2 linked regions of the Bombyx mori genome follow. The protein of the gene in region 1 purifies or fractionates together with the protein of each later gene. This does not show direct contact. Links are inferred from orthologs where the notes say so. Each region holds a gene or a part of one and is shown in the gene's direction. Other genes may lie near its edges.

What was found.
Region 2: the proteins of TOR1 (region 1) and rptor purify together in Drosophila melanogaster (affinity purification with western blotting; 3 studies listed by BioGRID, with this or other methods). This does not show direct contact. The link is inferred for Bombyx mori from reciprocal best matches to the Drosophila melanogaster genes mTor and raptor.

What each region holds. Positions count from the first base shown.
Region 1 is NC_085109.1:10,799,397-10,803,222, reverse strand, and holds part of TOR1 (target of rapamycin), read left to right. Parts: coding exon 1-189; intron 190-261; coding exon 262-421; intron 422-1,419; coding exon 1,420-1,635; intron 1,636-3,188; coding exon 3,189-3,560; intron 3,561-3,826. UniProt on the Drosophila melanogaster protein: Promotes cell and tissue growth, maintains tissue homeostatis and controls responses to environmental stress and aging. Regulates growth during animal development by coupling growth factor signaling to nutrient availability. Central regulators of autophagy.
Region 2 is NC_085123.1:798,081-801,906, forward strand, and holds part of rptor (regulatory-associated protein of TOR), read left to right. Parts: coding exon 1-188; intron 189-451; coding exon 452-693; intron 694-883; coding exon 884-958; intron 959-1,199; coding exon 1,200-1,280; intron 1,281-1,378; coding exon 1,379-1,555; intron 1,556-2,208; coding exon 2,209-2,371; intron 2,372-2,595; coding exon 2,596-2,674; intron 2,675-3,020; coding exon 3,021-3,243; intron 3,244-3,756; coding exon 3,757-3,826.

The sequences.
Region 1 (3,826 bases):
TTATCCATTGACGGTCGCGACGAAGTCATCGTTCGTGACCAGGAAAAACGCCGCCAACTACGTATTGAAAACTATGTGCATTCATGCACAGAATCTGGTGAACGAAGCCGCTATTATTTCGGAAGAGTTGATCAAAGTGGCAATACTGTGGCACGATCAAGTTTACATAGCACTCGATGAAGCGTCAAGGTTTGTTGGGTACAGATAATTTTAGATAAATATACCAAATATTGAACAACTAATCTCCGGCGATGATTTCAGGTTTTGTTTCAGCGAGAAAGATTATAAGAGAATGTTTAAAACTTTGGACAAAATGCACGCAATGCTGGATACCCCTCCGGAGACGTTGAAGGAAGTCTCATTCCTGCAGATGTATGGACGCGATCTACAGGAGGCGCGGCGCTGGTGCGAGTTATACAAGGTAAACTTGTTACAGGCATAAGGTCTCATAACCCTGGTTTAAACATTATAATGTATTATTTAACCAATATCTTTGCTACCTCTCTCTCTGGTGTAACTGGAAAAGCATCGGGGCCACCAGTAATCCTTCAATGATGAAAAGTACTTGAAAGATTCAAGTTGATATCATCATCATCATTTGTCTACCATTCTCCCAGTCACCTGGGGTCGACGTAACATGTTTTCTCCTTCCATACTCTTCTATCATATACCATTTCTTCGCTCGCTCCCCTCTTACACATATATGTGAGAAAAAATGGATCATCCATTTCTTCTTAGGTCTACCTCTTCCTCTATATCCTTCCACATTCATAGTTAACACTCTCTCATCACATGTCCATACCCATCCCAAACGCGCACTTTTCAACTTCTCTGTCACAGGGGCCACTTTCAGACTTCCTCTAATATATTCATTCTGTATTCTATCCATTCTCGTTACTACACATCCCTCGCTCCCCGAATCCTAATCACGCAGGAGCAAGTCACCGTCGTCGCCCTAGACACGTCAGATCCAATAACTCTTGCATTAGGTACCTTCAGCTCTAACACTAAGAGCAGGCTGAGGAACCCCGGTAACCGTACTCGCCGAACTCGACAAAGAGGTCGACGTGCAACCTAACCCATGCATCAGCCCGCTGAGTTTCTCGCCGGATCTTCTCAGCGGGTCGCGATTCCGATCCGGTAGTAGATTCATTCGCGAAGCAATTGCTCTTGAGTTCCTAGGTCTCCTTCGGAGGCGCTCGGGTGGCTGTTAGCAAATGCCACCCCTTCTGGCTGAGCCTTTGGTCGCCCACCTGTCCTGGCGAAACTGGAACGGCCTCCGGGCCACCAGTAATACTTCAATCATAAAAAAAAAACATGCATCGCAACATTAGCATCTCTGCTGCATGCAATCGCTTTCTATCCGCCATTTTTTTTTCAACATTGAGTTTATATATTAAGTATTATTTATTAATACAGGAGAGCAACGAAGAGAGGTACCTGAACGAAGCGTGGGATCTGTACTACCACGTGGTGCGGCGCATCCAAGCCCAGTTCCGGTCGCTGACGTCACTGGAGCTGCAGTACGTCAGCAAACGTTTGCATTCGTGCAAGGACCTGGAGCTGGCCGTCCCGGGCTCGTACGTGCCTAATCAGAAAATAATTAACATCTCGTACATACACAGCAATTTGCAGGTACGAATTTAGTTGCGAATTAGTATCATCAACACTGATAGCCGTTTCGCCTAAAAAACTATAGCGCAGGCGAAAAGTGAGTTAGTTTTTCATTTCAGATTGTCTAAGTATGTATATTGGTATATATTATATTATAATATAATACATATTATGTAAACGGTATATATCTGTTAATTGTATGTATATATTGTCTATGGTACACCGCAACATACCTGCTATATTTTTATATTTTCCAGAATTTCTGTAAATTAAACGGTTGTCTGCAAGAGATCGCTTTTAGCGATAAGACCGCCTATTGTACAAATGTATCTGCTTTTTTAATGTAAATTGTGTTTTGGTGTGCAATAAAGAGTATTCTCTCTCTCTCTCTAAGTTACTTTGCAAGAATTTCGAATTTTAAAAATTTTTTGATTAAGATTTTGCGTAAATATATGTATCGTTAACCATCAACTAAATAGTAATTTTAGAAGAGCTTTAAGCTTTGACGTTCTATTGAATTGTGATAACTTAATTAGGGCGTTATAGCATTTTAAATTCTCTTCATATTCAGATTCGATTGCACAATTTTGTGATTGACAAATTAATATTCAATTAGCAATGACAGGTAATAATTATCAGAACATAATTTGATATTATGGATAATAACATGTACTTTTAGGTTAGGAATTGTGTTCTTTTTTTTTATAATAAATATTTTATTGTCTATTTGATCTTACTTCTATATTGTTATATCACGGGAGCTCACACGAGTACCTACTCGGTACCAACCACCACCCTGCCTATTTCTGCCGTGAAGCAGTAATGCGTTTCGGTTTGAAGGGTGGGGCAGCCGTTGTAACTATACTGAGACCTTTGAACTCTTATCTCATGGTGGGTGTTTGCATTTACATTGTAGACGTCTATGGGCTCCAGTAACCACTTAACGCCAGGTGGGCTGTGAGCTCATCCATCCGTCTGTGGCGGGTAGCCATCATACAATACAAGATATTTGACCGATGCCTGAATCTCGCTTACGACAAGAAGCTTGAATATAATAATATACAAGTTCCGAACAACAACATTTGGACCGTCGGTCTACCGAACAATATCACCTGCTTGGTGGAAGATCTTCCTTTCGTTGTTTAAGCCTCACACACGTCCATCTAAGCAATAAATAAAAAAACATTTCCTACGTTTCAAAGACTTGGTAGTTTCCGTGTTCTTGAACTTACGAAAGTCAAACTAAATGTGTTTTTAAATATACCCTTTTTTTATAATACAATAAAATCATTTTTTTCTACACTATTTTTTATTCAAGTTTATTTTCTATTTTTTAGTTGGATTATCTATAAAAGCGTATTTTGTTGGTTTTTTTTTAAATTATTATTTATTTTTAATTTTTTAGCTGAATTTCAATTTTTTCAATTTTTTTATTAAGTATACCAAATTTCGAGTTAATCGGACGTTTTGAAGGGGGTCAAAATCATGTTCAAAGATTCCGTTACAAACATACACACGTCTGAAGGTAATAAAAGCGTATTAAAATTTGCTTGAACCTTATTCTTTTGTGTCAGGTAATCAAGTCGAAGCAGCGTCCGAGACGTCTGACCATACAGGGCTCTGACGGCAAACAGTACATGTTCCTGCTGAAGGGCCACGAGGACCTGCGGCAGGACGAGCGCGTGATGCAGCTCTTCGGATTGGTCAACGCTCTGCTGCGGGCCGACGCCGACACGTACCGACACGACCTCGCCATACAGAGATACGCGGTCATACCGCTCTCCCCCAACTCCGGACTCATCGGCTGGGTCCCGCACTGCGACACTCTCTACAATCTAATCAGCGAATTTCGCGATAAAAAGACGAACAAAACGGCGCTGAACACGGAACAGCAGATCATGTTGAGGATGGCCTCGGATTACCAGAAGTTGATGCTGAAGCATAAGGTGAGGTTCGGGAGTGCTCTGAGGAATTGTTCGAAACGATACCATCGAACCGCCCGCCACCGGAGTAGAGTTCATCCGTACTACCTGGAGCCACTGCGTTCATCCACAGTGCGTTTCCAGAGATCTTTTTTGCCACGTACCATCCGGCTTTGGAATGAGTTCCCCTACACGGTGTTTTCCGAGCGCTATGACATATCCTTCTTCAAACGAGGCTTGTGGAAAGTACTTAACGGTAGGCAGCGGCTTGGCTCTGCCCCTAGCATTAC
Region 2 (3,826 bases), on another chromosome or scaffold:
CGTGAGCAGTCCGGCGCTGCCGTCACTGGCCGCGCACCCGCTGTGGGCGGCGTGGGAGCAGACCCTGGACTCGGCGCTGGCCCAGCTGGTCACGTTATCTTCGGCTCCACATCCGCTGGATTACTCCCACTCGCCGTTCTTCAGGGATCAGCTCACCGCCTTCCAAGTCTGGCTAGATCTCGGTAAATGTGAGTGCTTACTAGAAACCGTGGTAACCGGCAGCACTTGGTAGCGCATGGACAGCAGCTCGCGGGGGCGGGCCGGCCTGCGGGGCCTGTAAACAATCCCAAAATAATACCGCAAGCGAGTATAATACGGCTCACTTGATGGTGAGTGGTTACCGGTGCTCATGGTCAGCAATAGCCAGGCCGTTGTCTATGACTGGTATAGTGTAGTTTAGGGGAGGGAGGGAGAGGGAGCGAGAGAGAGAGTGAGGGAGAGTGCGCTGCAGGGTGCGGCGGGCGCGGCGTGCCGGAGCAGCTGCCGATGGTGCTGCAGGTGCTGCTGAGCACGCTGCACCGGGTGCGCGCGCTGCAGCTGCTGTGCCGGTTCCTGGCGCTGGGCGCGTGGGCGGTGCGCGCCATGCTGGCCGTCGGGATATTCCCCTACATGCTCAAGCTGCTGCAGGCCTCCGCGCCGGTGCTGCGCGCCTCCATGGTCTACATCTGGGCCAGGATCATCGCGGTCGATCCGGTTTGTATTACTTATACATTTCGTTCATTTTATATTCCCTCGGCCAAAAAAACAAGTGCTGGCAATTTCAGCGAATCAAATAGTGTAAATGCAAATTAAACGGTATTAATGCTTTTACACATATTTTGAGTGCAGAACGAAACGAAATGGTATTTCTTAATTGTACTTAATTAATCATTAATTGTTTCAGAGCTGTCAAGCGGACCTAGTCAACGCTAAAGGGCACACGTACTTCCTGTCCGTACTGCAAGACCCTACAGTCGACGTAAGTACCCGCAGCAAGGTGCACGCCGCGCGGGGGGGAGGGTACGCAAGACAATGGGATTGAAAAGTACACTATACACTAAATTGATAGACGAGCTTATAGTTCATATGGGATTGATTGTCTATCAGAGCCCGTGGACTACACTTTCCAATTGTTTCAATCTTATAGCCTGCGACACTAGGGCCATGCACGTAGCATTCAATCAGGATCATCTTCCATTGAAATAGTTCCGTTTCTGCAGAGCGAGCACCGCACCCTGGCCGCCTACGTGCTGGCTGGCATCGTGGACGGCTACCCGGCGGGGCAGGAGGCCGCGCTGCAGGTGAGCCCTCGGACCGCATCGCATGTGTTGTGTATCTACGGTCAGCTGCTGCAAGACGTACGTAAGAAATGAAACTAAATGAAAATTTCGATTGGCAGGGCTCAATGATATCGATATGCCTCGAGCAGCTCGGCGACAGGGAGCCGGTACTGGCCCAGTGGATCTGCATCAGCCTGGGCCGGCTGTGGCGCGGGTTCGAGGCGGCGCGATGGACGGGAGTCAGAGATCTCGCGCACGAGAAACTGTTCCCGCTCCTTGAGCATTCTGAGCCTGAGGTACTGATACGTTACCCCCCTCGAGGGGGCCGTCACGGAGCAGCTGTCCATGCTCCTACACTATTGTGTGCCCGGGTAGACGAGCCCACGGCCCACGTGACGAACAAGGTTGACAAGGCTTATAAACATCACATGAATAGTTTCAGTGCTACTGTGACGGGGTCCTAGTATTGCTTGCTTATATTCATATTCGTCGGCCTGTAATGTAAAGCGTACTAACTCGCGACGTGCTTTTGTACGCTTTACAAGTCGTGCTCGTTTGTCAGCAACATTTTCGACTCTGTAAGCGATTTCTCTTTACCTTCTATTAGTTTATTTTTATTTTTTTATTAAGTTTTATTAAGGGGCTTTATTAAGTTTTAAAAGAACTTTATTGGTGGTAATTACTGGTTTTATTTACTGGTGGTAGTAAGTACCACCGCCCTGCCTATTTCTGTTGTGAAGCAGTAATGCGTTTCGGTTTGAAGGGTGGAGCAGCCATTGTAACTATACTTGAAACCTTAGAACTCATATCTCAAGGTGGGTGGCGCATTTACGTTGTAGATGTCTATAGGCTCCAGTAACCACTTAACAACCAGCTGGGCTGTGAGTTCGTCCACCCATTTAAGCAATAAAAAAAAAGAATAGTTGATGTGACGATGTTGCGGCGGCAGGTCCGCGCGGCGTGCGCCTTCGCGCTGGGCTCGTTCGTGTGGTGGTGCGGCGGCGCCGGGCGCTGCGAGCAGGCCAACGCGCTGGACCTGCAGGTGGGCGTGCAGCTGGCCGCGCGCCTGCCGCTCGACGCCAGCCCGCTCGTGCGCGCAGAGATACTGGCCGGTACGTACCCGCGTGTCTGCCTATGTCACTCGGGAATAGTATAACTTACAAACAGTGAAAGAATTTTCCAAATCGATTCAGTAGTTCCGGAGCTTATTCAATACAAACAAACAAATCTTTCCTCTTTATAATATTAGTATAGATTTCTAAATCAAATAGAACTTCTCTATTTGATTTGAAGAGGTTTGAGTCTACAGTTTTATAATAATAATTATTTTTTACAGCATTACAGTGGCTGGTGTTAATATTTGAACAACACTTCATCGCTGTTTACATACAAGAACGGGTCAGAAGAAATGATAGGTAAGAATTAATATGAAGATTGCACAATTTTTTATATTTTTTTATTGCTTATCTGGGTGGACGAACTCACAACCCAGCTGGTTGTTAAATAGTTACTGGAGCCCAAAGACATCAACAACGTAAATGCGCCACCCACCTTGAGATATAAGTAAGGTCTCAGTATAGTAACAACGGCTGCCCCGCCCTTCAAACTGAAACGCATTACTGCTTCACGGCAGAAATAGGCAGGGTGGTGGTACCTACCCGAGCGGACTCACAAGAAGGCCTACCACCAGGTAAAATTAAAACTTATTTCAAAAATGTACCACTTAATAACCCAATTCACCTAAATACCTAATATGCACAGGGGTGGCCCGTCCGGGCGCGTGGAGGCGGGGCAGGAGGCGCTGGCGGGGGGCGGCGGGGGCGCGGCGGGAGGTCGGTCCCGGCCCCCCCACTACTCGCTGCCGGCCATCGGGTTCGGCTCCGTGCCGGTCCGGCTGTTCTCCACGCTGTGCGCCATGGCCCGGGAGCCGCACCCCAGGGTCGCGCAGATGGCCACTGACATCCTCAATTACATCTCGAACCAGGTCAGCCTCTCGCTCCAGACGTTTGCCATAAAATTAATACGGTGCAGTCTTATAATGTAGCAATGAAGCAAATGGCAAAAAAACACATGGGGGACGGACCCTGATCTTAATGACATATATCTACATACTGTAGCATAAACAACCAAACACTGAAGTATAGAGTCGATAAGCTAACGTACACCGCCTACATAGAGCTTACATATAATAACTGTGCAACAAAGAAATAGTAGGCAGCGGCATGGCTTTACCCCTGGCATTGCTGAAGTCTACGGGTGATGGTAACCATTCACCATCAGGTGAGCCGTACTCTCGTCTGCCAACACTACAAGGGCTATAAAAAAATAATTATTATTATGTGATCATAAATTAAAATTAAAATTAACCTATTTGTTAAGGTGGAACAAAGTAAGAATCTGATTTTTTTTTTGTTTTAATCGAATTTTTTTTTTTTCGGAATTCTTTGCGGACAAATATAATGATAAATGAGTTTTATAAAATTAGAATTGTCAACAGAGCGCCCAAGTGGACAGCGTGGCGGAACCCGCGCGGAACTCCGCCAGCCTGCCGCCCTCGCCCGGGACCC